Alligator mississippiensis: one gene and its partner. The protein of the gene in region 2 interacts with the protein of the main gene of each other region in a pairwise test. Links are inferred from orthologs where the notes say so. Each region holds a gene or a part of one and is shown on either strand. Other genes may lie near its edges. The genes, in order: ZNF410 and TSGA10.

Evidence for each region.
Region 1: the proteins of TSGA10 (region 2) and ZNF410 interact in binary tests that used the Homo sapiens proteins (3 or more experiments, as listed by UniProt). The two-hybrid records come from large-scale screens. The link is inferred for Alligator mississippiensis from reciprocal best matches to the Homo sapiens genes TSGA10 and ZNF410.

What each region holds. Positions count from the first base shown.
Region 1 is NC_081825.1:260,292,337-260,308,558, reverse strand, and holds the start of ZNF410 (zinc finger protein 410), read right to left. Parts: upstream 7,822-16,222; 5' UTR 7,681-7,821; intron 5,338-7,680; 5' UTR 5,180-5,337; coding exon 5,147-5,179; intron 1,548-5,146; coding exon 1,412-1,547; intron 1,123-1,411; coding exon 904-1,122; intron 623-903; coding exon 431-622; intron 1-430. Other genes in the region: FBXO33 (F-box only protein 33), read left to right, coding at 11,070-11,512. UniProt on the Homo sapiens protein: Transcription factor that binds to the sequence motif 5'-CATCCCATAATA-3', and is specifically required to silence expression of fetal hemoglobin in adult erythroid cells.
Region 2 is NC_081824.1:342,979,600-342,995,855, forward strand, and holds the start of TSGA10 (testis-specific gene 10 protein), read right to left. Parts: upstream 6,572-16,256; 5' UTR 6,414-6,571; coding exon 6,366-6,413; intron 3,347-6,365; coding exon 3,227-3,346; intron 1-3,226. UniProt on the Homo sapiens protein: Plays a role in spermatogenesis. When overexpressed, prevents nuclear localization of HIF1A.

The DNA of each region.
Region 1 (16,222 bases), on a different chromosome or scaffold from region 2:
TTCCCAGAAATATAAATAAAAAAAAACCTGAGGAATACAAAAGACACCGTAGAGAGGTCATAAGACTGCTCTGCATCATTATTCACTGCAGATGATGTTGATAAAAATAGCTTTGCTCTGTTCCCCTCTGTCCAGGTAGGTGTTTAAGTTGAAAAACTGCTTTAAATCCCAGCTGTAGACATATTTCCCAGAAACTTAAGTCTGCGCCAAAAATAGTGCCAATAATGGTGTCCAGTTAGAGACACTGAAGCCTTGCTTTAACTGAAACCCTCAATATAACCTTGGCTAAAGTTACTAAATAGTGACATACATACTGACTCTGTGTACTTATTAACCATCTTGCAATGTGATAGATAACACTGAAACAGCTGCTGCTACTTGCTTTTTGCAGAAGATTCAACATTTCAAATAGAAAGAGGAAGTCTCCTACCATTATTGCTTGCTTTGGCGTTCTTTGCGAGCTGTGCCCTAGTGGCTGCAATCAAACTGTCATGGGCTAGCTCCTGTACTCGTAGAAACCATGGAGTACTGCTGTCTGTGCTGTCATGGGAGAGAAAATCATTTCCAGAATCTTCTGCTTCATCCTGCACAAACACAAGGTGCTCTGCTGGAGAGCCCAGGCCTAGAAGAAAAGGCAGCTGACTGAGACAAAGAATGTGATGAGAGGAGCATCTTTCCTGCTTCCCAGAAGCTAGTGTTTGTGGTACAGACATAATATTTGCACAGAAAGACTCCACTAACACCTATATTGCAAGAATCTGCTGACAGCTACAGGCTCTAATATACCCAACAATGCCCAGCAAATGTCATGATCTTTCCAACAACAGGGGCAGAGCTGTACATGGATAGCCTGCATTCTCTTCTTTGAGACCCAGCCTGCCAAATGACAAATAGAAGAATTACCTGCTCTTGTTAGGTTGAGGAGAATAAAAGAAGTGCTGTCACTGGGCTGAAGGTCCTGTAATAAGCTGGAAGTCTCTGGACTTGACAGGAGCTCAGAGGGTTTCTGTACATTCTGTGCCCTTGTCTCCTCTCCATCAGGGCCCACATTTACCTGGAGACTTCTCAAGACAGCAGATGAGGGAACATCTTTGGAGGAGTTATCATGACTTGGAGAATCATCTAATGAAGAAAAGGAGAGTAGGGGAAAGAATAAAAGTTTAATTATACCCCCTCAGCAAAAACATTGTGGAAATAACTCAATAGTTTAAAAGAGAAAGCTTGGGGGAAAAACATACTAAAGTAGTAAACCTTCACCACTATTGAGAAAAGTGCCAACACTTCTTCAGAATATGTCCCTTTGGCACTGGGGCCCTTTTCCAGCAAGAAGCAGAGGCAGCGTACTGCAGCAGCACACTAGTCATAGCTATACAAATGGTATGCCCCTAAGATTCTGTACTGTAGATCTTACCTGGCAACATCAGTCTGTTGCATTCTGATGTCTCAGTGACAGGAAGAAGGGAGAGACAGGTGATGTCTTTAGGTTCTGATTCCACCAGCCCTTGACCCAGTGGAATAGATGTGTTCTGAACAAACTGAACCAGCAGCTGGAACAAAAAAAAGAGGATAGAAGAGACTGATTTACTTACTGCTAAATCCATTTACTGCATTCTACAGAGTCCAACGAAACACCTGAAAATTTGGTGTTAACCTTCCACTGTGCTGTACCATGCACAGAACCTAGTGCAGCAGCCTGAAGTCAGTGGAAGTCTATCAACTTAATAGATTCAGTGGCTCTGCCTACTTTACATAAATACAAGTATACATGTATATAGCTCATGGGGGGGGGAACCTAACTTTTACTTAAAAATATAATCAAGGTCTGAATTACTAGCAGAGGTAGTTATGTCTATTATTAAGGCTACTGAATCATTTCCATTTTAACTTTCATTTTTTTGCCCTTCGTTATTTTGTCAAGATCAAAACTTCCAAGTCAAAAAATTTTCCATGCTCAGGTTGAGTGTTTTAAGCTTAACTGAAGGCAGTTCAACCAATTCTCTTCCAAAGAGAAAAAGGTAAATTTCCCATGTAAAAAACTAAACTGAAAAGACAAGCAGACTGACAGACCCCTTTTTGGACAACTATTGTGTTTCAAGAATCTGGAGCAGGAATCTGAAGCCTGACAAGAAATGTCTTATAGACAAACAAGTGCCTTTTCAGTCCGTCTGACAGTCTGCCTGCATTTGGTCCAAGTCTGGAGCACCAAAGTGTATACAATGTTTATGCATCCTTTCTGCACGGCATCTCAGAGTTCAAACTCCTGCCACACTACCATACACATTCCTGAGCTTCTGGTGTCATTCCAGAATGAAAGCACAGAGCTCTGCCTCTAGGACAGAGGTGGGAAAAATGGATTCTCCTCCTTTTACTGATGCCATCACTACCGATACAATCCTCCCCTGTATTAAACTACTCTAATTTAATGAAGGAAGCAGCAGGCTGAGAGCAACAAGATCAGGAGGTCCAGGCCCCCTTTTCCAATGTCTTGTGTTAATTATTCTGGGCATTTCATAACTGAAAAGACCACAGACCCCCATCCTGAGGGGAACTGAGTCCCTCTGGATCAGATAGGCTGCATGAGGTCATTTCTGGCAGAGAGAAAACACAGACCTCATCCATGCTACCTCTCAGAAAGAAGAGGCCAAACCTGTATGATTGACCTCAAGGTAAGTAAAATTGATTACTTTGTGAAGGTGTGTTTACAGGATTACTTTGAGACCCATGGATTGAAAAAAAGATTGTTAAAAAACAAAACAGCATTCACAATCACAAGTCTTAATTCAGTTCCCTGAGCTCAGGCCTATGGAAGAATCTTCTTGTCACAAGCAGAGCCCATAAATAAATAAATAAATGCAGTTATTTTTTTCCATTTAAGATACGAAATTCCACAACATAATACAGTCATGTTCTGGTAACAGACGCGTAGCCTTTAATGCCATGTTCATGAACAGCTCTTATTCTCTAGATTGTGTAGAGAATAAGGCTGACTACAGGAATTCTCCTTTCTTAATGAAGACGGTGGAAGTTATGTAATGACTGCAGCAAGGAGGATGCATATAGAGAAATCATGGTCTCTTCTAGTGATTCACACTGTAGGCTGGGGCCTGGCTCCACCACTGGTCTATTACGAGATGGTAAGCAAGTCCCTTTTATTTTATTTTTTTTTTATTTTATTTTTTTTAAGGAGGTACTGATTGCATGCTCCTTATTTCTGGGTGCACACTGAGACACTTCAAGGGCTTGATTTAGAACTGCTGCGCAACTGCTTCCCTCAGTTTGGAGAAGCAAATGGGAGCTGCTGCCGCTGCTATTTTGAGTCAGGCTTTAGGTGTCTTAAGATTGAGCCTCAAACAGCACCAAAAATGAATAGATACTTGAAATTTTGGACTATAAATTTTTGTGCTCAATACTTCCCATTTTATCAACGGAAATATGATGCTTCCTAATACTTCCCTACCTCTCAGAAATATTGTTGTCACTCACATGGTAATATACCACATGAACTGAGTCCGAAGCCAGACCTCAAGTTTAAAAGATCAACCTTACTAACTATTACTGATAGTACAGGATTATGCAGAAACCTCAGTCTGATGAGGGACCCAATCCGTTAGGTGCTCTACAAGCACCGAGGAAGAGATTTCCTCCTGGAAAGATTTTATGCTAATTTAAAGACAAGGTACAACATGGGGGGTGTAACAAAACCAGTAAGAGGGAACAGGAACAATCTGTACAGCAAAACTGCCTGGAGTCAAAAGTTATCAGGCTATTTCCAGTTTCAAAGATTTAATATTTCACATTTATTCACATGCTAGCCATAATCCCTTCTATCACCTGCACAGATTGGAAATACATACAGGACATTCTATGAATTATGTCTTGTCCTATCCAATCTTATTCTATTACATGAAGCAGTTTTAAATAAAAATTTCCTTCTCCTTTGGCTCAAAAGTCTACCCACACAGAGCAGCAAAAGGCAGTCAAATACCAAAACAGCAGAGGATTCCCACCCCTCATCCCAGAGCTGGAACTTCTGACTTTTTTTCTATATAATGGCAACCAAGAATTCTACAAAACAAACTGGGCTAAGCAGCATCAAAAGGCAAGAATATAAATCTCTCCCATTACAAGAGCTGCCAGTATACACGTTGGGAGAAAATATTATTGGATGGGCTGGCAGTGGTACAGGGCACAGTGCAGAGCATGCCGCCTGACCCCCTCCCCTCCCTCCTCTATGGCCGTGGTGGGGCCAACACACACTGCTGCTGTACACAGCAGAGGAGTGCACAGCAGGGGTACTGGGCACAGTACTGTGGCAGCAGGGCATGGTGGTGCTGCAACTGGAGCTGTATTTGTGGGGATTAAGCCCTGTTAACCCCAACTTTGTCACCTATGGGTGCCAGAGACAAGCTTAAACAACAAATTGCATTTTTTAAATCCTTCCTCATGAACAACAAATAGCCCCTCCCACTCCACCCCACAAATAATTCAGGAACAGTCTAATATTTTCACAGAACAGGCACATCTTATTAGCTAAGTAACAGCCCCCCCCCCGCCATTTATCATCACTAACATCTTGTTGACAACTTCTGCAATTGCTCACATAAGAAAGTCACTTTAAGAAGATATGTAATAGTCTTAGGTTTTTGCCAGGCAACTTGGCAGGAGTCATAAGTAACACACAAAACCACGTTTCTCTATGGAGAATGGGAACTTCTGAAATATTCAAAATTCCAAACTTCTAGAAGTGTCAGTGCAGGTACAGGGAAAGAAACTGATACAACAGCTTTTTTCATAGTGGGAAAAGTATGTTCTCACATTGTTATTGTACTCCAAAGATGGACAAAGGAACTTTGCTCAAACTTAAAAACAAGCAAGAAAGCAAAATAAAAGAAAAACACCCATACACTAACATGCCCCTTTGGATTTGTACCAATCAGTCAATCAAAAAAAAAACAAAAAACAGTTTTAAAATACAACTGAAAAATATTCTGCGCTCTTAAAATCATGGGATACGTCCACCGTCCGCTAAAATTAAGACTTTTTTGAGAATTCAGAGCCAAATGGCAAATACAGTTCTCTATCTAGCAGATAATGTATCTCAAAATAGGAACCCAACTGGAATTGAACCCAATTTATAGTCCCTCACCTCTGGTTTGGACTCTAACTCATCTGATAACATTGATTCAAGTTTCCGATTCCTGCAGCTGTCCTGGACAAGGCACAGAGTTTAAAATTCAGAGTGAACAGTCCCTTGGGGTTATTCTCATATTAGCTAGCCTTCAAGCAGTGTGGTGATCTTCCTGCAAGAAATTGTGCTTGGCAGATATTCAATTTAACCTAAAACAAAGAAGAAAACGAAAATGTGAGCAGCTATCATCCATGGACCAAAGAATCAGACTTCAAGAAATTATTACTATTGAACATAAACATTTCTCTTGACTTGGATGGTCTCTGAGTTCTCTCATCTGCCTAGGTATTCATGGCATTCAAATGCTCAAAAAAACAATGTAAACCAAAGTTCAATTTAAAAGAACATTCTTCTCTTGTATTTAAGCAATTTGAAAATCCATAGGGTAGCAAAAAGCAATAGTTGCTATCGTTAATGTCCAGAAAAACGTTGCCAGGCCATTTGAGGCCCATTTAAAGTGTGCAGGATCCCTAATGTTTGAGTATGTTTATGCTGTGAGAGCCTGAGCTTTTCCACTGCACAAACAAATTGAATACCCACTCTCACAGAACTCATCATGAACACTCAACCCTCCTTCTCATATTCATTGATTTTCTGGTTGTTAACAAATTCTCAATAATCACAGATACCACTGAGTTAAGTTCTCTCTCATGCAATTTCCCCAATTTTTAAACTAAACAAGTTGTTTCTTCTGCAGGACAGGAAGATAGATTAAAAAAAAAATCTATTTTTGTTCCTACTTTTACACACTTGCAAGTGCTTGACTTAATAATGGAAGTCAATGTAAAGAGGTGACCTCTTTTGCTGACAACTACAGTCCCCACCAAAGCCTAATAGATATGATGTTCTGCTTCTCTTCCTAGTATGGAAACTTTGGTATGTGAAGAAGGTTCTCCCTGTCAGCTTTACAGGATATATCTATAAGTAACATGTTTTAGGGCAGCAAATCTTAACTAGCGTGTCGTGAGATCCTTTTAAGGGTGCTGCAGGGTGCTGCGCAATATTAACACTTTTAGGTGTGCAAACACCCACACGATTCAGAAGATAAACCCAACAGGAATCCATAGTGTCAAAAACATTCTGACCTGTTGTGGGCTTTATGAAGTATTTGCAACAGAAAAATTGCTCTATTCTTTTTCCATAGTCAAAACCAAAGAGAAGCCAAGAACTGGCATCTCCCACTGGGTGCCTTGGACTGAATTAGCATAACACATAAATAAATAGTCACAATAAATGAAAATAAAGCCAAGACCCAGGGTGCCAGTGTTCTTCCTAAGGTTTTGCCTCATGTTATTTTTCAAACTGCAAACTTGTGGGACCATCCTCCCCTTCTAGCCAGTGACTTTAACAAAAGACAGAGGGAAGATTTGCACCTTACAGACCAGTGATCGTAAACCAGGGTGCCACAGGACTCTGGGATGCCTTGAGATGCTTTCAAGGCTAGCATGCAGTGCTGCACAACGTTAAACACTGTTTGGTTTGCAAACATGGGACAGACAGATGTGGGGAAAAAAAAAAACAAGAAAACCAGCACTTAACTAAAAGAGAAGCAAGTACATTAGTTCAACCTGGCTCCGCAGCACCTGTATAAATTGGGTGCTTCAGCAGAGCTTTTTGGCACTTACCTAGTAACTGATTTTATCAAATAGCTGATTCAACTGGCTATTAGATAAAATCACCTGATTTATACAGACATTGGGTGAGCCAGGTCCAACTAATGCAATGCCTCTTCTGGGCATGCACAGTGCTTGGTGTTGGGGTGTGCCCAGCTGGAAGGAAAGCACCCTTTTAGGGGTTTTTTTTCATGGCTGTGAGCAGCCATAATTCACAAGATAAACCCAGAGATTTGAAACAGGAATTCCCTGGCTGTAGCCTAAGTTCTCAGCAACTAAGAAGACAACTCTATCATTTTTCTAGATTCGAAAAAAAAGAGGGAAAACTAACATGTAGCGTTTTCCAAGAGCTGCCTTGAATCTGAAGAGGTTGGGAACTTGCTACAGGCTGGCCAGAGCGCATGCACGAGCCCGGGTTAAACTGCAAGGTGAGAATGTCCCTACCCCCTACTCGCCCTCAGGCTAATAGGGCTAACTACGTCTCAGGGGCTTGAACACCCACCCAAGCCTGTGCCCCTGCCGGGACGCAGAGGCAGTAGGGGCCACCCCCGAGGAGGAAAGGGGCAGGGAGCCCGAAGCTCCGAGGCGCAGCGACGGGGCTGCGTTGGGGGGCCCTCCGGCCGCTCTGCTCCCGCGACACCGAGCCCGGCGCGGGCTGCAGCTGCCCCGTGACAGGGCCGGAGTGGGGGTGGGTACTGCCCGAAATGGGGGGCGGGAGCCGAGGCCGCCAGTCAGGACGCAGGGAGAGGAAGGCGCAGGCGCCCCCAAACGAGGTCGGCTCCCCTCAGACCAGGGGTATGGGGGGCTCGAGCCGCTCCTAGGGGACACGGACAGGGACGAGGCCGGCCTCGCGGGCCTCCGCGCCCCCACGAGTCTTACCGGCATCTCAGAACCGCCCGGATGTGACGCCGTCACCAGACCGGAAATGCTGGGGGGCCAGCTCTATGGTCCGAGAGCCCTTCTAGTGCGCGGACGGCGGTCTCTGTAGCCCACGTCCGCCCCATCCCGACAGGTGACCGCAACTGCTTCCGGTTCCTGTTTCCGGGAGCAAGAATGGCAACATCCTGGCACCCGTAGTTCCGACACCGCCCCTTGGCGGGAAGGCCGGTGGGCGGGGCTTCCTGGGCTCGGTGTCTTGGAGCCGTTAACCCTGTCGCCGCCAGGCGTGGGTCCTGAGCGCTCCGTGCCCCGAGCCCGGGCCCGGGCAGGATCTGTCGCCTGCGGCGCTTGTGATCGTGGGACTCCAGGAGCGGACGAGCTCCTGGGGTACGAGCCAGGGCTGCGCCGGCAGAGCCCTGCGGCTTCTCGGCGCGGCCCCTCTCCCTGGGGCTGCTCAGCCCGCGGCTACTCTGGTGGCAAAGGCTGCTCGGTCTGTGGCTGCCCGCCCGCCTCCACTGGCCCCACGGATCCAGTTCTCAGGAGCTCTCCAGAAAGCAAAGACACTTAACCCTATTTTTTAGACAGGGTAGAATCAGAGGGACCACAGCCTTGCCAGAAGCCGGCCGCCTCGCTGCACCGGGGTCCTGTCTCCTAGTTAAGCGCCCTTCCTGAGAACAGAGGATGCGGTCGGTGTCTGTCATCTTGCCACAAGTTGGCGCACGTTGAACCAACAGGATCGTTCAGCTTAACAACTAGGTCTGAGCCAGTTCCTGCACTGAGGGAAGCAGAGCTGTGGTTTTGCATTGGGTCACTAGGTTAGCATAGCAGGGGAAACCAGAAGGGATGACCCAGTGACCTTATGAAATCCTGTGCCTTAATTTCAGCAAAAGCAAGCCAGAGAGGAAGCAAGCAGGACAACTCTTAGCAATGTGCGTCTTGACCCACCGAGTAAGACAAGTTTCTGAAACAGGGATCCTTGTACCACTGGGTCTTGATGTACAGCAAGCTTCAGCTGATAAGCTAGAAGACACCAAGGTTTATATCTTGATATCAGACCAGCAAGCTAGAGGTGGGAGTTTACTGAATGAGCAGAAACAATCTAACCTGTGGGAATGGGATCAGTCTGTTCACAGAAGCCTGCTCATTGTCATCAAGCAGGTGACCTACATATGCTAAGCCGGTGGCCACATAGAGCTTCTCCTTAGCAATTTGCAGCTGCTAAATCTGATTCACAGAACCTCTGCCTTGAAATTAGACTAGCTAGTCAGTAGAGCTGAGGCACTGCTCTTCACCAAGGAGTTATATCAAAAACCACAGAGCTCTCAGCGTGACACCAGATAAGCGAGGTGGAAGGCAGGACAGGCCCTGACTTGAGACTAACAGCTAACTACCTCTCTACCTGTCAGATAAACAAGCTATAGGTCCTAAATCAGTAACCTTACGGTTATCTGCCTCAATGGGCCTGGCCAAAGGGTCTGTGACTAAGTGATCTCACAAAGGCCCGTGCCTTAGCAGAAACTGCAAATCAGTCACAAAGGTCTTCCCGGAGACCTTGGGGTGTTTTTCCTCAGTGTCCTGCGTGCACGTCTCCAAGTGGAGCATCGCTGGGCGGTAGCCGCCGGCACTCTAGCTGAGTTCAAGGGCCGGTGGGCTCTGTCTGGTGTGCTCTGCTTGGCGTCCCCGCCAGGGAGCACTTGTTTTGGCCCTTTAACCCTGCACGTGCACACCCTGTTTTCTTATGATTTGTCCCCGGTAATCAGTTGAATTTTTAAAGGCTCTGGCCACCCAACCAGTGGTGGCCCTCGATTTTTAGTGGGCTGGGCCCATGGCCTTTTTCATTCAAGTAGGTCAGTCACAAAGGTCACAGCCTGGATATCATCCCACCAAGTTGTAGTTTTAAGTCAGAGATGTCTCCTTCCACATCAAACCAGCAAACTAGAGGCAATGAGCCACTGAACACAGAGCAGCCTGGAGCCTTAGCATCATCCCAGGAAGCTAGAGGTGCTAAATAAACATTCACACAGGAGTTGGTCCTTTTGGTGTCCTCCCAGCGCACCTCAGTGGCTGAACAAGAAACCTCAAAGGTTCCTTTTGATACCAGCCCAGTGATCTACAATCACAGAGCAAGGGACACCTTTGCTTTGATACCACCTCAGCAGTCTACAAATACTGACCCAGGAAGTTCATAAAACCTGGAGCCTTCACTCTGTTGTACCAAGACCCCTTAACCTGACTCGCCATCAGCCAAGCGCTCTGGGTAGTTGGGCAGATGCTAAAGCAGTGCCCCAGAGGCAGGAGATCCATGCCTATCCCTTTGAGGGCCTGCGGAAGTTGTTCTGCTCGGGCTGGGGAGCTGAGGACTTGTCTGGCAGGCGGCTCTACAGTGGGAGCTACCAGCTGCTGGAGTAATTTTCCGGGGCTCCCAGTGTTTGGTGCCAGTGCCAGGAAACAGCACCAGGAGCTGAGGGGAAGACTGCCTGAGCCCAGTCCCCTGCGCCTTCCTCTCCTCCGCGGCAGCAGCCCCGAGGTCCCCTCGGGCAATCCCAGCTCTTATGTCTCACTGGGCGTTTGACTGCGGGAAAATACTAGAGCAGCTCTTCTTCTGCAAAGGCCTCAGAAAGGCCGCAGCGGGCGGAGCGGCTTGGACCCCGGATTCCTGCGTGAATCCCTGAGTTTATCTCGTGCATCGAGCCGCCCCCCCAGCACCGCCCGCTCTGTCCCACAGCCCCCGCTGGGGATCCCGGCTCTTCAAGGCGGCCAGGCCCCCGAGGTTGCCCCTTGGACAGGGCAGACCCCGCGGCCGCAGCCGCTCCGGCCCCTGCACCGCCCCACAGTGAGGTGGCAGCGTCCTGTTCCCCTCTCCGTCCACTCCAAATGGTTTAGTCCAACCCTCCCCCCAGCGAGTCTGGGCGCGCCCTCCTCGCAGCTGATTTGATGGTAGGTTCCACCCTCCCAGCCCCGGCTTGTCGGGCAGTCGGTTCCATCCCTCTGTGAGCGGGGGGAGGGAAGAATTCCTTTTCCCCACAATCTGCAACCACTGATGGGTTTCCCCCCACTCCTCCGCTGCCTTTCACCCGCCTGTAGCATCTCCGCTGCTCTCAGCTAGATTCTTGAGTGAGTTGGTAGGTTCCCGCCTATCCATTGGCAGCAGGTGCCATGCCCTCCCCCCGTAGCCCGGTGGTACGTTCCCCTCTCTCACCCGCCTCTTTGGCCCCCCCCGCCCGCCCGCAGGGGTGGTTCGCGCCGGCAGCGGGTGAGCGGCGGCGGCCCCGCCCCTCCCCCCGCCTTGTCATTGATGTTGTTGTTGTTGCGGCAGGAGGCCGAGGCCGGGCCGGTGCCGCGCGGGGGTTGCAGCGGGGCCGGGGCCGGGGCCCGGGCCCGCGCCGGGGATGTCGGTGTGCGGCGGGGCGGTGGGCGCCGGCTCCCTGCCCAGCGAGCTGGTGGTGCACATCTTCTCCTTCCTGGCGGCGCCCGACCGGCTGCGGGCCTCGGCCGCCTGCTCGCACTGGCGCGAGTGCCTCTTCTACCCAGCGCTGTGGCCCCGGCTGCGCCTCAGCCTGCGTGTCTGCCCCGCCGAGCGCCCGCGCCTCGACTTCCTCATGCGCAAGTGCGGCTGGTTCGTGCGGGAGCTGCGCGTCCAGTTCGCCGCCGACAACTACCCCAGCGGCGGCGGCGGCGGCGGGGGGGGCGGCCTGGTGGGCGACGGCGCGGTGGCGGGGCCGGGGGCGGCAGCGGCCGACGGGGAGACGCCGCTGTGCCCGCGCTGGCTGGAGCTGCTGAGGACCTACCTGGAGCTGGTGCTGTGCGTGCTGAGCAGCGTCCGCCACAACAGGTAGTGGCCCCGCCTCGCCCGCTCCGGCGGGGCCCTGGCGCCTTCCCTCCCCCTCGAGGGCCCGGGAAGCTGCCAGGGGAGAGGTGGGAGCCCCACTGCTCGGGGGAGGCCTGGCCGAGAGCTGAGGAGAGCAAAATCACCCCCTGTTGCCTCAGGGGGCCCGGCACCAGGAAAGGACTCCTGCAGCTGAGGCAGCAGGAAGCCCTGAAGGTCTTGCTCCTTTGTAGTTAGGTGCTGCGCTGTCTTTGGGAGAACGGGCCTGTTTGACCTATGAGGTTAACATGTGCTTGAGGCCCACTGGACAGCAGTTAGCCTCCCTGTTATGGGAAGGGCTATTGGGGGTATGGCAGTTGATTTCATGGGGCAGGTAAAAAGAAAACAGGCAGAGATTCATGAGAGCAGGAGGGAGACCATGCAGATGAAAGCCGGGGTGTGAGGAATTGTATGAAATCATTGTTGGGACCTGTGACAGGCTTGATATATTTCCAATTCCTATGGTACTCGCTCTTTGAACTACTGAGCCCACCACACGTTGCATATATCACGCAATTGCCTGCTCAGTCACGCACTGCTTTTAGACCAGCCTCATGTACAGACTAAGACCCACCACAAGGACAAAATATAAATATCATGCAAGTGGTGAATTGCTTTAAACAGCATAACCATCAATATCATGCAAGTGGTGAATTTAAATGTACGTTTAGACCAGACACACGCATGACAGTCACTTTGCCCTTGTGGCTAGTCTTGCTTTGCACATGAGGCCAGTTTGAATGTATTGTGCGATTCACTAGTTGCGTGATAATTACTTTGCCCTTGCATCTGGTCTTATTTAGCAGCTGGTGGATCATAGGGTACCCTTAGACCAGCCACACATGCAAAGTAAGACTGGCCACAAGAGCAAAGTAATTGTCATGCAACTGATGAATTGTGCAATATGTTTAGCCTGCCCCCATGTGCAAAGTAATTATCACTCAATAAAAATGACAGTTCAACTGTAAGAAGAGCTGGCCAGCTACACAATTAATGCTTGAAAATGTGTATTGACTCTAGTTTAGTTCTATCCAGCTTTAATTGAAATGTGTAGACAGATCCTGTATTAACAACTTGTCAACTTAGTGCTTTTGAGGAGTTTGGTATTGGGCAGGGTGATGGTTATGCTGTTTAAAGCAGTACAAACATCTTGCATTGTATTATCATGCTAGCTGTAGAATATCAATATAAAACAAGGCATAGATGTGGATTCACTTACGAGTGACCCATTGTGCACGTGACAAGGACAGTTGGAGCTGTGCAAGGATTGATTTTTGTCAGGAACAAGAGATCTGGCATCAGTAGAAGGGGGTCAGAATTTATAAGTTTGAACTCTGATAAATCTAAAAAGACTGTTCTATGCAAAAGTTTCAGATTGTGCTCCTTTATATTTCTTCTTTGTGCGTAAGCAGATATGGCATGCTGAAAGTAGTGTGCGCGCTGTATTGGTAGTGTGCAGGGCTAGGGGGATTGTTTCCACAGTAAATACGAAATTTAAGCTAGTTAGACTCTTTAGTTGCTATGTAATCTTGTTACCGAAAAATAATGTGTAATTATAATGATGGCTGTCTTTTGATATACTGCAAATTCTTAAATTTTTTGGTCTTATACAGGGAAGCTTATTTACTCAGAGAGAAATATATTTAAAGAAATGTATGACTTCTTGAGATCAAAGAGAATAAGAGAGTCCTGGAAAGACAGAGGGAGATGGTTAGACTTCTAGCCTGGGATTTAGGAGACGGGCTGTGTTCTGTTTTGCCATAGACTTCCTTGGTGACCTAGGTATTCAGTTTTTCTGAGCTGCAGCCCTTTCAATCTTTAGAACAGTAATAATAGTAATTCCTTGAATTCACAAGGTTGTGATTACAATAAATATAAAAAAAATGTGAGGTGCTCACATACCTTTCTGCGTGTGCTTTGATACCAGTTCTCAGGATATGAAATAAGGAATATTATTCCCTTGTTGTCACACAAAAGGGAGAGAAAGCTCTAAATCAGTGATTGTCAGCAAGGGTGCCATAGCATCCTGGGATGCCTTTACCCTTTCGAGAGTGCTGCGGGGTGCCACACAGTGTTTGGGCTGTTAGGTGTGCAAACATGATACGCACGGATTTCAAATATGAATCTGTAGTGTTAAAAACATTTTGACCTGTCATGGTCTTTCTGAGTTCCTTGTAACAGAAGAGTTGTTTTATTTTTCTGTAATCAAAAAACAAGGAAAAGTATAAGACCTGAGAGGTGCTGTGAGTCTAAAAATATTGAGAACTACTGCTCTAAATGTAAGCTTGAGTCACTCTAACACAGGTCAAGATTGAGAGGCTTCAAGAAGTTTGAGCACAACGATTCAGAAAACTCAAATTGCTCTTCTGTGACCTTGGAAGAAATGTCTTTTACTCTAAGTAGTAGCTAAAGAATATTGAATATGATCCTTCCTTGGTTAGAGATAAGTATATATTTGGCAGGTGAGAAATATCTTGCTTTCACTTTAATGCAGTTAGCTCACAAGTACTTCCTGTGCTGGAAGGGAAATAGCTTAGAGTCACAAAGCTTGTTTCTGAAAGCCTCAAATCTGCTTGAGGTCTGAGTTAAGGGCCCTCACTTTTATATTTAGTACATCCCTTGCACTCTCTCCTTCCACTTACTAATAATGCAGAGTTGTCTTGCTGTTGAGGTATGCTGTTATTCAGAAGTTTTTACCTGTTAGCTTGCTTGTGGAAAATTCACCTCCTGTCAACCCCTAAGTGAAAAATGTTGAAGTGATGGTGACACTTCAGTAACTGTCAGAGGTATTTGAGGCAGACACTGCTGCCTGAATTGATTTCTTTTTTTTCAACTTCTCGAATCTATTGAACAGGAGACTTCCCAGTTTCTGTCACTTTGATAATAAAGTAATAAAGAATATATTTTTATAAGAATATAACTAAATGCAGTAGTTGACAATTATGGCAACATTGAACTTAATGTAAATTGATTTCCTGAGCCCTATGCCCAAGTGAAAAATCCCCACTAACAGTTTGTGATACCCAGTATAGCATTACTGAATTTTTGCTACTGAATCATTGCTATCCATTATCCCATGTCTATAAACATCATTCTTGTGTTAGTTTGGAAGCTTCTTAATTGACTCTTAAATTGCCTTAGGATTTTAAATATACATTTTAAACCCTTTTTCATATTGATGAATGCTTTAAAAATTTAGTAAAATACTTTCCTTTTTGCCATATACCAGTACAGTTTAAAATTAAAACATGTTTTATATAGGAGGTCCCTGCAGTTTTTTTCCTATCAAGTGGATTGTGGTGGAAAAATGCCTTGCCACTTAAAGGTCCCTTGGCAAAAGGAGGTTTATTTTGTTGCTAAGAAGCAGCCAGGTGTCCCTTGATGTGAAGACTCTCCTATGAATCCTTCTTATATTTAACTCCAGCAGTTCAGTAAAGTCTCTGAAATGTATAGCTTCACACATTATTCCAAACACAATATGCACAAAAACCATAGTAAGAGTATTGAATAGAACTGGCAGAATGAGTGACATATGCTGGTTTCCAGCTCTATATTATAATATTGGCAGGTTGTACCCTGGAAATTTTTATGCAGTGGAATACCTTCTGGAGTTGCATGTAGCTGTTATGCTTCTGTATTAAAGCTTATTGCAATAACGTGGGCTTAAAAGTTACCTGGTAAATTAGCCAAATCACAAATTTTAAACAATGGCTTCTAAAATAAATATATGGCAATCCGAAATGAAAAATACTGCAGTTTCACTAAAATATAAATCTTACTAGCTTCCTCACTTCCTATCATAAAATGCTCTTCTTTTGAGTTGTATTCCATGGTTAAGGTTATGGCTTTAAGAGCTCAAGAATGATGCAGGATATAAAACAGAAACAACTCCTCTTCTGGTATTTTGCTATAGAATTTTGCATACATTTTCAGAAATGAAATCCAATTTTTATTCACATTGCCAGTGTTTGGTATTTTTGAGTTGCTCCTTCCTCTCCTTTTCTTTTTTCCCCCTCTATTCATTTACATGCTGCTTTTCTGTTTCAAAATTAAACAGGTAGTACACCAGGCTTGTTGTTGTTGAATAAGCCAGAAACAAAAAAATAATAATACTGAGAGTTAAAGACAAGTGTTTAAAACAGTTGCCTTGTGGCTTGCATTCTGCCCTTGGACACTGATTCACAGTTTATCTTGCCCTGAAGAAACACAGCAGTATGCAAGATAGGTGGTAATGAGCTCCTGATTATTCTAGAGCAAGGTTAATCCTTAAAGGTGAGTGGTAACAGTTCTCCCCAAGTTTAGAAGTTTGTTCATAGGATTTCAAGGGAAAGGGGGTTTGGGTAATAAGGAGAGTTCAGCTGTGGGAATTAGTACGGGTAAGAAATGCAATTAAAAATATGTAATTGGAAGGTACTGAGACATAGACCTTGATTCTCTTCCTAACCCTGCCACTGGCTTCCTGCATGACCTAGGGCAAGTTGCACTATCTCTTTTCCTTTAGTTTCCTTAAAGGAAAGGGAGACAAACAGCACTTTACAAAAGGAAGCAAATACTTTGAGATATGAGAGGTATGATTTGCAAAGTTTCTGGTTTCTCCATTGGGAATGCATCTGAGGGTATGGACAGGGAAACATTTTGCTGAGTTGAAACATGAGGAACATTTATCTTGCATCAGCT
Region 2 (16,256 bases):
GTCTGTGTCACTCCAGGACCTCCCCTCCTGGCCCTGTGCCCCACTTTGGGCACCGAGGGTTCTTCCAGCTCTCGTGGGGACGCAACCTAGCCACTGCTGGCTGGGTTTACCTGGCCTTATGCCTAGACCTCCCCTTTCCTGGGCCCTGCTCTAGGCTCCAGGGCTCTTTTAGTTCTTTGGGCAGGTCACACTGCAGGGCTCCAGCTATCCAGCTTACACCAGGGCTAACCTGAGCAGCCTCAGGCTGCTCCCAGGGCAGGTTCTCTGTGTGCCGGACTGCACAACGTGTGGGGCCCCGAGCAGCCTTGAGCTACTCCCAGGGCCAGCTCCCCATTTGCCAACCTGCACACCACTCTGTCCAGCCCTCTGCTGAGGATGCAGGCTCGAGCTGCCTCAACGTGGCTCCCAGAGCCTGAGCCTTGTGCGCTGGCCTGTGCATTGCTGGGATGAAGAAGGGATCCCGTGGAGGCTCTTCCCTCTCCAACGTCCCTTGCCATTTCTGCCCAGCGTGCTGCTTTTATTTACACTGGAGGTCCCACCCCTGAAGTCTGCCAGACCTGCAAAGAGCAGACTTCAAACAGGTCCAGGGGCTCCTTGCTCCCCCACCCCCAAGAAGGGGCAGGGCTAGCCCCTCCCAGCTGTTACTCGATTGGTAGAAATGTTCCACCAATCCAAAGTGTCCTTCTCCATGCTGGGCTTGCTGGGCAAAAGCAGCACATATTTATTCTTATCTAGGAAGTTCCAAACAATTGGGACACACACTCTTCCACCTGGAGGGAGCTCTCATGGGAGGTTCTTCAGAGGTTAATTTATCATCTCTGTAGTTCAGCATGTATATAAGGATATTAGGAGAATTAATGATGAATTATGAGTTGTTGCATGTAATGAGAATCATCATGTGATCTGGCTGATATAATGGAACAAATAATTCTGTACAGCTATGAACTTGGAGAATAGATGTGTGCAAAGTGGCCAGTTCTTAAATAAGACAAACCCAGGTAATGATGGAAAAGGCACCAGAAAAATTGACTAGGTTGGTACCTGCAAGAAGGGATGCTGCTGTACATTGGGTCCTCTGGGAAGGTCCAACTAGTGTTGAATCAGATAATTAGGTTTGGAAAGGACCTTAGGAGGTCATCTAGTCCAACCCCCTGCTCAAAGCAGGACCATCCCCAACTAGATCATCCCAGCCAAGGCTTTGCCTAGCTGGGTCTTAAAACCCTCCGAGGATGGAGATGCCGCAACTTCTCTGGGTAACCTGTTTCAGTGTTTTACTACCTTCCTAGTGAGAAAGTTTTCCCTGATATCCAATCTAAACTTCCCTTGCTGCAACTTGAGACCACTGTTATTTGTTCTATCATCTGCCACCACTGAGAACAGTTCAGCTCCATCCTCTTTGGAACTCCTCTTCCAAAGGTTATTATTAAATCCCATCAGAATGTCAATGTCTGTTCATTTACTTACAGACTATGTACAGCACGCACAACAATATTCATATCTGGTAGCCATGCTAGAACCCAAGAGGTTAGTTTTAACCTCTAAACCCCAAAATGTTTCAAAGCCCAATTAACTGAGAAAATCCCTCCTTCAGTCACCGCCCCCTCCCTGAGACAGCTGAGATTGGCAACAGTATTTGAATTGGAACTTCCTTGGTATAAATTAAGAGTTTCCATAAATATTATCCCAGACTCTGTAATTAGTTTCCCTCCTTGGTCATCAGGATCATGGATCTGTTTATTGTTCATGCTGCCATCTTTTCTCAGATGCACATAAGGGCTCAAAACTGAGAATAGTTTAGGTTAGAGTCAGTGGTGATGCGCAGGGGGTGCACGTGCATCCCCTTATTGCACTGGTGCATCCCCCGACAGCCAGCACTCCCCACTTAGGTGACAGGTTGGGGGGGGGAGGCAGCGGTGCTCCCCCTGTGAGTACCAGCCAGAGAGTGGGGGCACCAGGAGAAGCATCACTGGCACTTCTGGGTGCCCCGCTTGTGCTTCCCAGTCAGCCCAGTGATCAGCCACAGGGGCCTCCCCCTGCAAGCTGGTGAGCTCGGCCACGGTCACTGACTGCCCACGGGGGGGGGGGGGGGGGCTGGCGGCCACATGCCCCCCTGACTCAGGAAGTACCAGTTGCCCCTGGTTAGAGCTGTCCAACTCATGGCCTGAGCTATCCAACTCAAGGCCGCATAAAGCCTCTGAGAGGTTTGCCTGTGGCCCTAGAGGCTCCTAATCCAGGTGCAGCAGTCCCCACTACTCTGCTGCTGCTGCCACCAGAGTCTTTGGGCTCACTGTCTCTCTCCTGGCTTTTGCTTCCTTCTCCACACCTGGGGGCAGGGCAGGGTGGCCAGCTTGTAGGGCCGGAGTGGCCTGCCAGTGGGCTTGGGGGGACCCAAAACCCATGCAGCATGGGGTCACCAGCACAGTATAGTGTCTGCCATATGGTGTGCAGCCTGGAGGTGTGCAGTCCATGCAACATTGGCCTGGGGTGCCTGCAGCCCCCAGCCACTCAGAAGTTGGACAGCCCTGGTTTAGATGAAGTCTTAAAGTATGGTAGGGTAGAATTATTTTACTTTTTATGGAAGAACATAGAAACTTGAAAATATCCAACTAAACATTCATGACTAACTTAAATTTCAGAAGGTGTCTACAACTCTGTGAACTGAGATAAAAACGGATACATGTATTAACTTTAAAGCATCATTTATAACAATTTAAATGGAACACTGGTAATTACGTCACTGCTGATCATTTTTAGTTGAAACATCCAAATACTTTTGGCCTTGGCTATAGCTTAGAAGCACCCCTTCCACTGGTTGCTAATTTTGAGGAGACACATCTCCTATCCAATACCCAAGAGAAATTAAAGTAGTAAGCATCAAATGACTATGCAAACAGCAACACGCTGAGTTTTTGTTTGATTTACAAAGTTCAAGCAAGGATTAAATTGTAGAGGTTAGTAGCATAACATGATGAAAAATGCCATGATGCAAATATAACAGGATATCTTGTCATGAGTGTTTTGGATCTTCAACTTCATTCAGTAGCAAAGTAGTTTGCCATCTCTTCACTGTTTAATACCCATCTAAATTATAATGGTTACTTTTGGGCTATAACTTCAGTATGTAAGATTTTCAACATCCTTGTTTCCTACAAAATGCTACAATAGCAAAAAATGTAATGCAGAAAAATAAAACAACTTTTGTAATACAGAAAAGTAAAAACCGAACCTGTGAATTCAATTTATGGATTATTTTGTCTTTGTTCGTAATCTTGCTTTCCAGATTAGAAGATCTCTCACTTTCAAAAGCTCGATCCCCTAAATCAAAATCATCTCCTCTTCTTGTTACCTTTTGAGAGAATAGAAAACATGAAGTACTGTACTTCTGCATTTTAGAAAGGCATGCTGCATGGAGTAACAGAGTGAGCCTTGAAAATGGGAGAAAACATATGCTTAGATACTTCATAACAACAGAAAACAACCTATTTGCCCTCAAGCCACAATTGGCACAGCCACACAATTTACTACAATGTAACTGAGGGTAGAGGGGATTTACAGCACATCAGTTACTCCACAGTAATTGCCCATGTGCACACTTTGATCCATCAGGAAAAGAAAGCGAACCCAAAGTAGCTTGCCTCTTGCTTACTCTGGGGTAATTTGTTCATGTGCTTATGTTGTATAACATCATCTTAAGATAAAAATGTTCAAGTTTAAGAACCAAAGATACTTGAAATAAAATCTGTAAATTTCACTTTTGAAAAGCAAATAAAAATATGACTGATATTGAGATTAACCAGGTGCTTCAGTGGAAGGCTTGCCCTGTAAAAGCAGGACCTAGAATTTGATCCAACTCCAATGAAAGCACTAAATTGGTCCCTCAAGTGGAATAATACAAAAGAACTCAAGGACTAGAGTAAACCAAGCTACTCTTAAAATTAATCCTTTTGTTTTATGCATCTTAAGCAATGAAAGCAATCAGCTGTCATTCTCAAAAAGAGTAAAACAAAGATCAGTATAGTTTGCATATGAACAATACTTTAAAAAAATCATACTAAAGGAGGGGTGTCAAAATATGGCTCAACCCACAGTGCTGCCCATGGATCTCTGACTGGTCCCATGCACCATATGCGGCATGTGTTGGCTCTGGCCCTGCATACTGCACATGGCACACAGAGCCTGTCTGACATGAGCTCCATGCAGTGTGTGGGGCCAGTCCAGGACATGTTCTGCACATGGCTGACCTGGATCAGGCCCACACACAGAATATAGTGTATAGGGCGAATCTGGAGCAGCCTATGGGTGCAGCACATGGGGCTGGGGCCAGCACACGCTGCTTGTGGTACGCACGAGTGGAATCAGAATGCTTGCTCTGCACAGTGCATAGGGCCAGTACAGGGTGTGTGCTACAAGCGGCACACGTCAGACCAGCCCTGTGCACTGGCCCTGATGCACAGGGCTGGACTGTAAACCTGATCCAGCCCACAGACCAGACCAGCACCCCTCATCTGGCCTATGGGACCAAATAAGTTGGATACCCCTGCACTAAATGAGAGAAAAGGAATGACACAAAATAGTACCTCTCAGAAGCTATTTATTGTTTAATTCTTCTGAATAAGCCAATTCCTTCAGCAAAACAAGACTGATTATTCCAGTATGATTCAAAATTGAGTGAATGGGGGATGTGCGCATCAAAAATATGCTCTGAACCTGCAAACATTTACGAAAGTGCTTAATTTAACATTTGAACATGATCATTTACCAGATTGAGCTCTCATAGATAACTGTGGAGCAGTGATGATCAGGTGTACTGAATGGTATATATAGCTCAGGTGTCTAACTCACCCCACCCCCCCAGAGCTGGATTCAGACCACAGGGCTCTTCATAGGTCAAGGGTGGAGGAAGGGGGCTTGAGGGGCAGCAGTCATTTTCCTCTGCAGCTGACATGCCTCCCCAACCGGGCTCTGTGCCCCAGACTTCCACTTGCCCTGCCCCTGAATTCCTGGTCTCTCTGGGAGCCCCACAGGCCTGAGCCATACATTTGACACCCCTGAAAGAGCCAAATTCAAGGATCTCAAAGGAGATGACACAGCAGGGAGAGGCTATGATTTTTCAGAGGCAGACCTGAGATAACCACTGAAATTATATTGAAAAACTTTAGAAAAGGTCTTGCCACGAACTCACTGACAAATCTGACCAAACATGGTCAAACAACTCTTACACAAATACAGAAAAAAAAGAAGATAAATGCTAGCAATTCCAGACCTGGTCATTTTCTTTGGATTCAATAGGGCTTTGTTAGGAGCTTCAATGACCAGGACCCCAAATTTATTCAAATCACTCACTCCACTTTTTTCACTGCTTTATGCTAATCCTTTTACAGCACTGAATTAAGTCAATGAGTTCACAAAAGCTTCTGCTTTATATACATATACATTATTTAGTTAGTCTAAAAGTGCAAATTCTACCTTGACTCCAAACTAACATCTAACTACCTTTCCCCAGAGGTGGGCAAACTATATCTGTCCAACCTCCCCCCCACAAAAAAAACAACCCCAAAACAAACCAACCAAAAAACCAAAGCAAAGCAAAAAAACCCGTGGTTTCTCTGCAAAAAGGAAGCTCAAGGCTGTGGTTCTCAACTTTTGACTTGAGGCACCCCCGGTGAAACAAGGGTCCCAATGGGAAATGCCAGCTCTGAGCTCCCATTTGTCTTTTCACTATACAGAAAAATAATCGAGCAACTCTTCAGTTGCAAAGGACTCAGAAAGCCGGCATCAGGTCAGAGCAGTTTTGACGCTATGGAGATTCCTATTTGAAATCTCCGGGCTTCTCTAGTGAATCATGTGTAGAGGCTTGCATGCCCAAGAGTGCGAATTGTGTGCGGCACCCTAAAATTAAGGCGTGCCACCCCAGGTTCTTCCACTGCGTGTCCTTGCTTGGGAAGCATCAGGTTAAACTAAACAGCCAAGCAGAAGAAGCGCTGTTGGAAAAGGAGCTACGTTGCCCTTTTTTTCACTGGGGAGAGCTCAGAAAGACCACACCGGGACAGGCTGCTGCTAAGGCAGCTTGTGCTTTAGCTTGCAAATCAGGTTTGCGCACCGGACAGCGCTGATGCGGTACGGCAGGCATCCCGCGGCACCCGTCAAAGGCGCTCAGGGCAGCCCCGGGGCTGCAGTCTCCTTGTGGAGAGTCACTGCCCCCAGGTCTGACAGGGGCCTGCACAAGGGCAAGGAGAAGGAAAGGAAAGGAGCAAAAGGGAAGGGAAGGAGGAGAAGGGGAGGAGAAGCAGCAGAACAGCCGCATGTGCCCGGTCACAGCCGCCCCCGCCCCGGGGGCAGCTAGCCCGGGCGGGGGGGGCACCTACCTGCAGGCGGCTACCCGCTCCCCGCCGCTGCCGCCGCCGCCCGCTCATGCCGCCCGCCCCGCCGAGGTGTGCACGCGTGTGGGGGAGGGGGGGTCAGTGTCAGCCCCACCCCGCGGTACCTGCGCGGTCCCCTCCGCGCCCCGCCCCCCAACGGCCGCCCGCGCTCTGCCCCGTCGGGGGAGAGGAGGGGAGGGGCGCAGGGCTGGCGCGAGGGGCCTTGAGGCGCGGCTCCCGCCTTACCGCCAGGATGGGCCGCGCGGCAGTTGGGTTGCCCGGCGCCCGTTGCCATGACGGCAGCGCGCTCGGGGCTGCAGCCCGCCTCGTGTTCCCGGCTCCTTTTGCAAAGCTCCTGTGCGCGCAAGTGCAAGCTGCTCGCGATGGGCTGGGCAGCGCCGAGCACTGGAAGTGCACCAGGCACGCGCAGGGCTCTTGGGTAAATCTGAGCTCTTCATTAAGTCCTTGTGCACATTGATACTTTAATAACTCAGGTTGGAGGTATGATTGAAACAATCGGTGAACGGCATTTAAAAGCAAATTTATTAAAGTTTTAGGACCACTGGAGTACACAGGGCTAGACTTCATAAGTAATAACAAGTTTATTCTTATTTCAGATTGACAAACGAAAAATGGCTACGGTAGTGTAGATGAGAAGTTAAAGTGTGGCCTGTGGCTAGCAGAATTGAAGTCTGTATCAGCTGTGAGAAGAAAATGGTGGTTATGTTGAAGTCTAGCATTGTGTAGTGTAGTGGTCCTAAAACTTTAGTAAATTTGCTTTTTAATGCCGCTTACAGGTTGTTTCTATCATACCTACAACCTAAATTATTAAAGTTTAAAAGTGTACAAGGACTTTATGAAGACCCTGTATTAGGCCAATTACAACAGTTGAGAAAATTTGTCTCTGGGGTACAAACACCCTTCTTCATCTGAAGATATAATTTTACATTAGTAAGTATTTCAGCTGAAGAAGGGTGTTTGTACCCCAAAGCTTGCAGAGATGATTTTTTCCAACTATTTGAGCTGGTCTAATGAGATCAGATTTACCCAAGAAACCTTGTCTGCCTGTGTGCTTAGAGCAGGGGCAGGCAATTATTTCAGGTGGAGGGCCGGTTACTGAGTTTTGGCAAGCCGTGGAGGGCCGCATGACAGGCAGCCAGGGGCAGATAAATATTAATTTTCTAAATTTTTTAGGGGCCCCGCGGGCCGGATAGAATGACCTGGCGGGCTGCATCTGGCCTGCGGGCCGCATTTTGCTCACCCCTAGCTTTGACCAACACGGCTGTAACCAACACCCCAGACATGTATGTTCATGCATAAAAATGTAGAAGAATCCCCACGGAGCTAGTGTGCAGCCCAGAATAAGGAGCTGGGAGTAGGCTGGGATTAGGGGCAAAATCCTTTTCAGGTCATCCCAGACTACACGTCACCCCCTGAGGGTTTCTTTGATGAATGCCAGGCAGGAGACGCATGGTTTGGGGTTACACAGAAAGGGACTATGGAGCAAAATCCAGCCTAATCTCAGCTCTTTATTCAGGGCCATGTGTTTGATCCACAATACTATTTTACGTGAGTAAATATTTCTTCTTCAGCAATCCGTCATAGTGAAGGATTCCTGTCTTCCAGAATTACCTTACCTGTGGGTCAACGATGGCTGACGAGGCCAACATGGGATTCACACGCTCCACTGCAACTCGGGCATGTGTTTGCATGCAGCGTGGGTGGCTCTGGATTCTTGGTTTGGTCTGTGACATGCTGTTTCTGCAGCTCCCACATGTGTCTCCTGTTGTCATCCTAAGATTTCCAAGTACGGAGATCCTTGCAACAGGCTGCTCCTCCATTTGGGGCAATCCTGGGTGATAGTCTCCCATGAGTTGGATGTTGATGTTGCATTTTTTCTAGTTGGCCTTGAGGATGTCCTTGAAGTGCTTTCTCTGCCCTCCTCTTGAGTGTCCACCTTGACTGAGCTGAGAGAGTAAAACGTGCTTCAGGAGTCTGGAGTTGGACATGCAGATGATGAGTCTAACTCAGAGAAGTCAATGTTGGATGATCATGGCCTTGAGGCTCATGGTGCTTGCTTGCAAGAGGATGCTAACGTTGATGTGTCTGTCTTCCCACTGGATAGATTTTGGATGAAATTCTAACTCTTTAGCATGTCTAATTCATTATTAACAACTTTTAATTGTGTAAAGATTAGCTTTGAAAAAGGAACCAGGAATAAGTAACTAACTTCATTCAGCCTCATGAGGGGCAGCCAATGCTGCTGCTGCTGCAGGGGGAGGCCTGTGTCCCTGACAGCGCCGTACCTAGACTCCTGGCAGCCCTGGGCAAACTTTTAGTATTGGGCCCCCCTTCCCCATTGACCAACCTGACGGTGGGTGGTTGGACCCTGAAAAGTGCTGTGCGAACAGGCCAGGAACGAAAGGGTTACGGGACCTTGTTTCTCCTTCTCTTATCTCTCTTCCCGTTGACAGAAAAACAATTAAGGAAGCGGTGTAACAGATAAATGCTTTACTCACACTTTCGTATAGGTGGTTTCCGTTACAGCAGTTTCAAGATTAAACTCGCTGGTGACTCGAGAGCTCTAAACACGTTCGAATGATATACTCGGTCGTGGTGGGGCGTCCGGGGAGGAAGGGATTTCGTGGACGCAGGACCTCCGGTGAAGGTGATCAGGCCTCTCTGATATGGCGCGGGTCCTCTGTTCCCTTTTTGGTGCACGCGCTTTCTTTTTTAAATGGGCTGCATCTGCCCACCCCCTGCCAATCAGCGCGGGCCGGGACCGCCAATCTCGTGGCTATCAGGCCGCGCCCACCACTTCCCCCATGCCATGAGCACAACTTTCTGTCATGTTTGGCATTTGGTCATAATTTTTTTTTTTTTACTTTATCACATGCCCCCTTGACCAAATGCCAATTTCAGACATGTTTAAGCTCGAGAACCTCTTCTCCTATAGCGAGTAAGTGGGTATATACAAAATTGAAACGTACAAAATACAGCATCTAATACAAATACATAATAAGGATCAAAAGTGTAAACTTTCACTCAAGACTTGCAAATAAGTCAGATAGTTAGTCAGTACTGAATCCAACCGCGTCTGTCTAGATGCAGCACGGCGGTTTTTGCCGGAGTCGTCGCCAATGGGTTCACTCATGGCAACAGTTGTCCCGAATACGAGTTTCACACCATGTCAGGCATCGGCGACTTCATACCGTTTTAGGCTGGAAAACAAAACTTGGGGTTCGTTAGTAATGTATACTAAACTGTGCTACGTCGACTTAGCCAATTATGGTGGGCCAAGACAGTGCGTGCGGGTGAGACTGCTTCAAGAGAGACAAAATAGGTATTTGGGTACTCGCCAGGTTTAAGTACAACACCGGGAGCTGGAGTTGGGCGCTTGCTGGTAGCTGTGGGAATGGCTAGCCACACTGTTTCTTGGGATGAGTAACATGGCTTCCAAGGCGGACGTGGCACCGGGGTACGTTCATCCCACAAAGCTTTAGTGGCGTTCATGGCAATTAGTACATCATTGTTGTACTTAGTCCAATTCTTGAACGATCCATTTTCCTTTAACCTTAACTGTTCCTTGTATAGTCCTATCTGGCGCTCCACGATGCCATTGGACTGCGGGTGATAGGGTAGATGGTGATGCCATTGAACATTATGCTGTATCGCGAACCGCTCTAAGCCTTTGGAGTTAAAAGGTGGTCCTCCATCGGAGTGTAGGATGTGGGGCACTTGCCAATGGGCGAAAGCGAGCTGTAGGCATCCTTGAATTACGGGAGTGGTGGTCTTCCTCGTGGGGAGGACGAGAATTTGACGGGTTCCCAGGTCTACGATTACTAGCCCCTTTTTTGGTGGCTTGGCTCCTGGGAGTTTCCTGAGCAGGTCCACTTGCCACACCTTGCCTGGAGCAAAGTGTGCCAGGTCATAGGCGCCCTTTTGGTGCTTGTAGTGCACTGGTTTTTCTCGCACACAGGCAGAGCAGGCTTGGATTATTCTTTTCCATTGTTCTACGCTCGGTCCTTCGTCGCTTTGCTCCCTCCAGCGAGCTTGTGCCCTTTTTGCTCCAAGGTGTCCCCAACGCTCGTGGAGCCAAGCGAGAAAGGGGTCGGTGTCTATGATGTCAATGGCGTGTAACTGAGGTACGTCCTTTTGGTTCACGGGTCCTCGGTGTGCCAGTAGCTGATCTATGACAGCATGTACGGGGTCCGTGTCAGGTCGGTGAGAGCGCGTGTGCTTGATTAAGGGGCAAACAGAGAAACGTAGTAAAGTGGCCTTGACATCGTCCCAGAGAGTGGTGTGTTCCGTAACTTGTGCCATTCCAGTGACAATTTTGTATACGGCTGTGACGGGTACCGGAAGCGTCCCATCGTGGTGACGGTAGGTGTGTTCAAGAGCTAGTTGAAAGCCTCGTAGTTCAGATGCTTGGACCGACTCTCCTGGATGGGACGTTTGGAGCTCATAGTCGTGACAGGGGTCACAATAATATCCATATCCTCCGCCATCACGGGATGTACCATCGGAAGCTATCCACGCTGGGGATGTGGTCCCATACAATCGTAGTACAGTGGGATCATCTTCTTCGGCGGCCGGAATCATTTCTCTGTCAGCGACTTGCCACACCGACCAGTGATACTGGTGACGAAGGACTAGGGCACTCCAAGTTTTTGCCGTGCCCTGATACTCCGGGTGGATTTTACTAGAGTTAAGTAATCCCAGTGTGGTGGCGCCGGGTGCAACCAGTACACCTGGGCTCGTCACGAGGTGTTCTCCTAGTTGAGCCACAAGCATGACCTTCCCTAGACAACCATACCGATGTTGGTGGCTTTTGAGTGTGCGGTGACTGGTGTACGTGAGTTTTCCTGTTTTGGCGTCACTGGCTGTAAACCAGATATGTTCCGTGGTGTAGCCCACGTGAATTGTCAGGAGATTGCCGGCGGGGGGTGCGATCAGACGCATCTTTTTAATCTCTATCATGACGTTTTCCAGCGCGGCTTGGTCACGCTCACTCCATGGAACTCTGCGTCGTGTTTTCTTGCGAATTTGGTGTTGTAACCGTTGGACAACTTTTAAATGTGATGGCGTTATGAAATTGTGGAACCAATTCAGCTGGCCTAGTAGGCCTTGAAAGTCTGTCTGTGTGGTTGGCCAAGGCGAGGACAACTCAGGGGTAGCATTGTGTGCTGTCCCTGACCGCCATTGTCCTGTGAATCGTGTCCCCAAAAACTTAATGTCCGAGGATGGCTCGCTCATGGACTTGGCCGGGTTTACCGTCCATCCTTGATCGCTCAGGTGGTCCTTTAGGTCCACAGTGGTGGCGCGGACCGCGGTACGATCGTGCCTCATGATGACAATGTCGTCGACATAGGTCCAGATGTGAACATCTGCGGTCTTTGGGCGGGGACAAACAAAGCTGTCGATCGTCCCATTCATAGATTCATAGATTCATAGATTCATAGATGTTAGGGTCGGAAGGGACCTCAATAGATCATCGAGTCTGACCCCCTGCATAGGCAGGAAAGAGTGCTGGGTCTAGATGACCCCAGCTAGATGCCTATCTAACCTCCTCTTGAAGACCCCCAGGGTAGGGGAGAGCACCACCTCCCTTGGGAGCCCGTTCCAGACCTTGGCCACTCTAACTGTGAAGAAGTTCTTCCTAATGTCCAATCTAAATCTGCTCTCTGCTAGCTTGTGGCCATTATTTCTTGTAACCCCCGGGGACGCCTTGGTGAATAAATCCTGACCAATTCCCTTCTGTGCCCCCGTAATGAACTTATAGGCAGCCACGAGGTCGTCTCTCAACCTTCTCTTGCGGAGGCTGAAAAGGTCCAGTTTCTCTAGTCTCTCCTCGTGGGGCTTGGTCTGCAGGCCCTTAACCATACGAGTGGCCCTTCTCTGGACCCTCTCCAGGTTATCCGCATCCCTCTTGAATTGCGGTGCCCAGAATTACACGCAGTACTCCAACTGTGGTCTGACCAGCGCCCGATAGAGGGGAAGTATCACCTCCTTGGACCTATTCGTCATGCATCTGCTGATGCACAATAAAGTGCCATTGGCTTTTCTGATGGCTTTGTCACACTGTGACTCATGTTCATCTTGGAGTCCACTAGGACTCCAAGATCCCTTTCCACTTCCGTGCTACCCAGCAGGTCATTCCCTAGGCTGTAGGTGTGCTGGACAAAGCAGTCTTGAGGGGTAGGTGCTAGACTGTTTAGACTTGCTCAGACTGAGCAGTCTCAAACTGTTTAGCCTTGAGGCATGGGTGGATTTAGGATTAGAAAAGGGGAGAGGGGTGCAGATGCTGAGGGGCATCATCCCATGTAACAGCACCTATTTTTCTCTTCATAGAAAGAAACCAGAAGCTTTACTCATAGGTCAGGGGCCCAGGGCTATGTTATTCAATTTAAGAGGGAAGTGAAAACTCCTTGGAATGAGTTAAAACCAGGCTGTGAACTGGGAGCTCCATGAGCAAAAGTAGCTACCAGGCAGTGGAGCTGCAGAAAAAAAGGCCTACTTGAGTGATGGAGCATCAAGAGTGTGTGTATATCTATCTATCTATCGATCAATTGATCGATCGATCGATAGGAAGAGGGGCTTAAGACCTGTGGAAGGAAGAGTGCAGAAGGGATTGGGTAAATTATAATGAGCCAGGAAGTCAAATGATTCCCTCAGCACTGCCTGACTTAAAAAGCTGCTGCCATTGCCACTGGTTGATTTAAATTGTGGGTGGATCAGGAATCTAAAGGGAGCACAACTGCACCAGGACATGCCCTCTCCCCCACATCTGCCCCTGCCTCAAGGCATCCTTTGATAGACTCAAGACATCCCTGAGAAAATGCCGGTGATTAGTTTTCAATCTCTTTTTGACTACAGAAAAATGACAGCAATTCTTCTGTTGAAAAGAACTCAAGGCTGACTCCAGCAGGGCAGGATGTTTTTGTGGCCCTACAGATTTGTATTTGAAATCCCTGGATTTATCTTATGAATCATGTTTGCTAACACTGTGCAGCATCCCATGACACTTGAAAAGATCTCAAGGCACCCCAGGGTGAGAGAGTCACTGTGCTAGACACGTGTTTACCAAAGAGGCTGAAATGTCCACCTGTAGCAAGATTAGAAAAGAGAGTTTTCCAAACAACCTGTTGTCACAGTAACTCTATGACTCGAAAGGACAAGCTTCAGTTATTAACCTGTTGTCTGATAAATTGTCCAGAGAATCAGTTGAGAAATCATCCTCAGCCCTTGGGAAAAACATGAGACTGTCCCAAGCCCTATTACTACTATCCTTGTCATCAAAAAGGTAATTTCAGTGTTCAGAAATGAGCCCAGTTAATTTGTGGGAGTGTCGGAGGAATGCTGTGAATTTGTACAGCTCGTTTAGAATGGATCTAAAGTGCACAGGTTCTACATGTGAAATTGATAACATGTAAAAATGGTTGTATTCAGTTTATTGACATTTTTCTTATTTTTATAGCAGATTTTTATAGCAAAACACCATTACTGATTAACCAATCAACATTGACACAGAAGTTCCCAACTGTGGACCACTGGTCATCTAGGAGGCCATAGCAAGTGGTCAGTAGATTGCATGAGGCTCCAGGTGCTTTATGATCATAGTATCATAGTGCTTAGGGTTGGAAGGGACCTAAACAGATCATCAGGTCCAACCCCCTGCCCTGGGCAGGAACAGGTGCCGGGATCATATCACCCCAGCCAAATCTCTGTCCAGCCTCCTCTTGAAGATCCCCAAGGTAGGAGAGAGTACCACCTCACTTGGGAGCCCATTCCAGAGCGTGGCAGCCCTAAATGTAAAGTAACGTCTCCCGATGTCCAGTCTGAATTATGATGTTTTCCAGTTAAAGTTTGGTGACAAGAGTGCATGGTGGTGTGCAAGAAATATTAAAGGTTGACACTGGCTCACTGGTTCAGCAAGTCAGGGAACCATTAGACTTGAAGGATGATGAAAAATAAGAGTTATCTTTCCTGAACAGTGGAATAACACATTGTCACTGTGTCTCTGACACATCCCTCTTATCACCAGTGTTCCTAAAATGTTTAGATTTATATAACTATTTTGGTGCAGAATAAGCAGTGATGAGGAATGTCAATGAGTGGCATGTAGGTCTGGAGGCTTGGTAGAAGAGAAATGGGAAATACTAGGAAGAGAGGGTTTGAAAAGGTTGTAAGAAGATGGGGGCTAAAAAAAAGGGGAATTAAAAAATTGAGTAAGGGGAGGGACACTGGAAACAGAAAGCAAAGATCCGCCTGACATTCTCTCCTCACAGGGTTCTGCTTCTCTAAGGGGATCTGATACCCCTTCTTTCCCCAGGCCTGGGACAGGGGGAAGGCTCTTTTATGTTTGTTTGTTTGTTTGTTTAAGAGGAACATTAAATATATTAAACCCAACCTTTTTACTGTCACTAACTGCCTGATGAAAAGGTTACATACAAATGCTTGATATTGTCATGTGACATTGCAATCAGCACTAATGCTATTCAAATTAATTTCTTCGATAGTATTTCCTGCAGTGGGTTGCAAAGGATATTTAATTTTTGACATAGCGAATGTGACACTGTAAGTCTTTTGAGCAGCCTAAAATAGTAAACATGCAAACTCCACAGACCACATTTCTTCTGTATTTCCTTCAGTGTCACTTCCAAAGCTGTCTCAGTTATGGCTGTTATGCCTGCAGCATTTACAGCTGTACAATTAGGAAAGAAATAAGATTTTAGAGGTAAACCTAAGAAATCACCCAGAAATCTTAATTTGAGGTAAAGAAACTGAGAGTAACTAGGTATGTAGTTTTACAGGATACCCTAAACTATCAAGGTAAAATCTCACATTGAAGGGTGAAAAAACATAGAGCATTATTCATATAAACTTCATGTAAAGACTTAAATTTTCCTTATTTTTATTTTTAAATGGGCTTTTTAAGCTTTACAGTATATTTTCTCTGTCAAAATACAGAATTTGCTTCAAGCTCTGTCTTGTAGTTTATTTGATGTTTTCCATGTTAGCTGGGATGGAATAACAGAGCAACCTGTGCATGAAAGATGCATGGTCCCTTGTGGTTGTGCATGAAATGAGAGATGGGAATATATGTCTGTAAGAATCTGTGTACATGAGTAGTAATCAATTGCAAGCCCTCTACTCTCTGATACCTGTATATGAAGCTGTTATTTCTCACTAAACACCTCCCTCCCACTGACTTCCAAGATCTGGAGCCACCAGGTGGCCAGACACCAAGACTGCTGACATATAATTAAAGGCACAATGGGATCTGATCTGCAATTCTAACTATCCTACCTCCTGCCATACAACACATGATTAGCAGGAGGGACGATTGTGGGACTGGGGATCAGATCCCTGCTGCTAGTGCAGGGGAGCCTGGGATCACAATCATACTCCCCTTGCACTGGCAAGTAGCAAGCCAAATGCCTTGTGCTCTTGTAGTTCTGTGCCAGTCGGCTGATCTTATGCTCCTAGTTGTGGAAGCACACCAGAGCCTTGAAGTGGGGCTCCGGTGCACTTCCATAGCTGAGAGCACTGGTTATCTGCTTGGTGCTTCCAGATGCGGAAGCACATCATGGCTCTTCAAGGCTCTGGTGCACTCTCAGCTGATCAATGCTGGCCACACTTTTAACTTAAGATGCAATGGGAACCAGCATATTTTGTGTAATAATTGCATCACACTGCTTCACAGAGTTGTTGGGCTGGAGGTAGCAGATTCTCCCATGTACCAACCAGCCATACAGTGATGGAGGCAGAAGGACTTTAACTCTGCATAAAACTGTTCTACCTTGACCGCTGCACCCCCATAGATATGTTTGGCTACTTTAAAAGTTATCTTCCAAAGTGGAGCCAGGAAGTAAATCTTCCCTAGAGAGGGGAAGG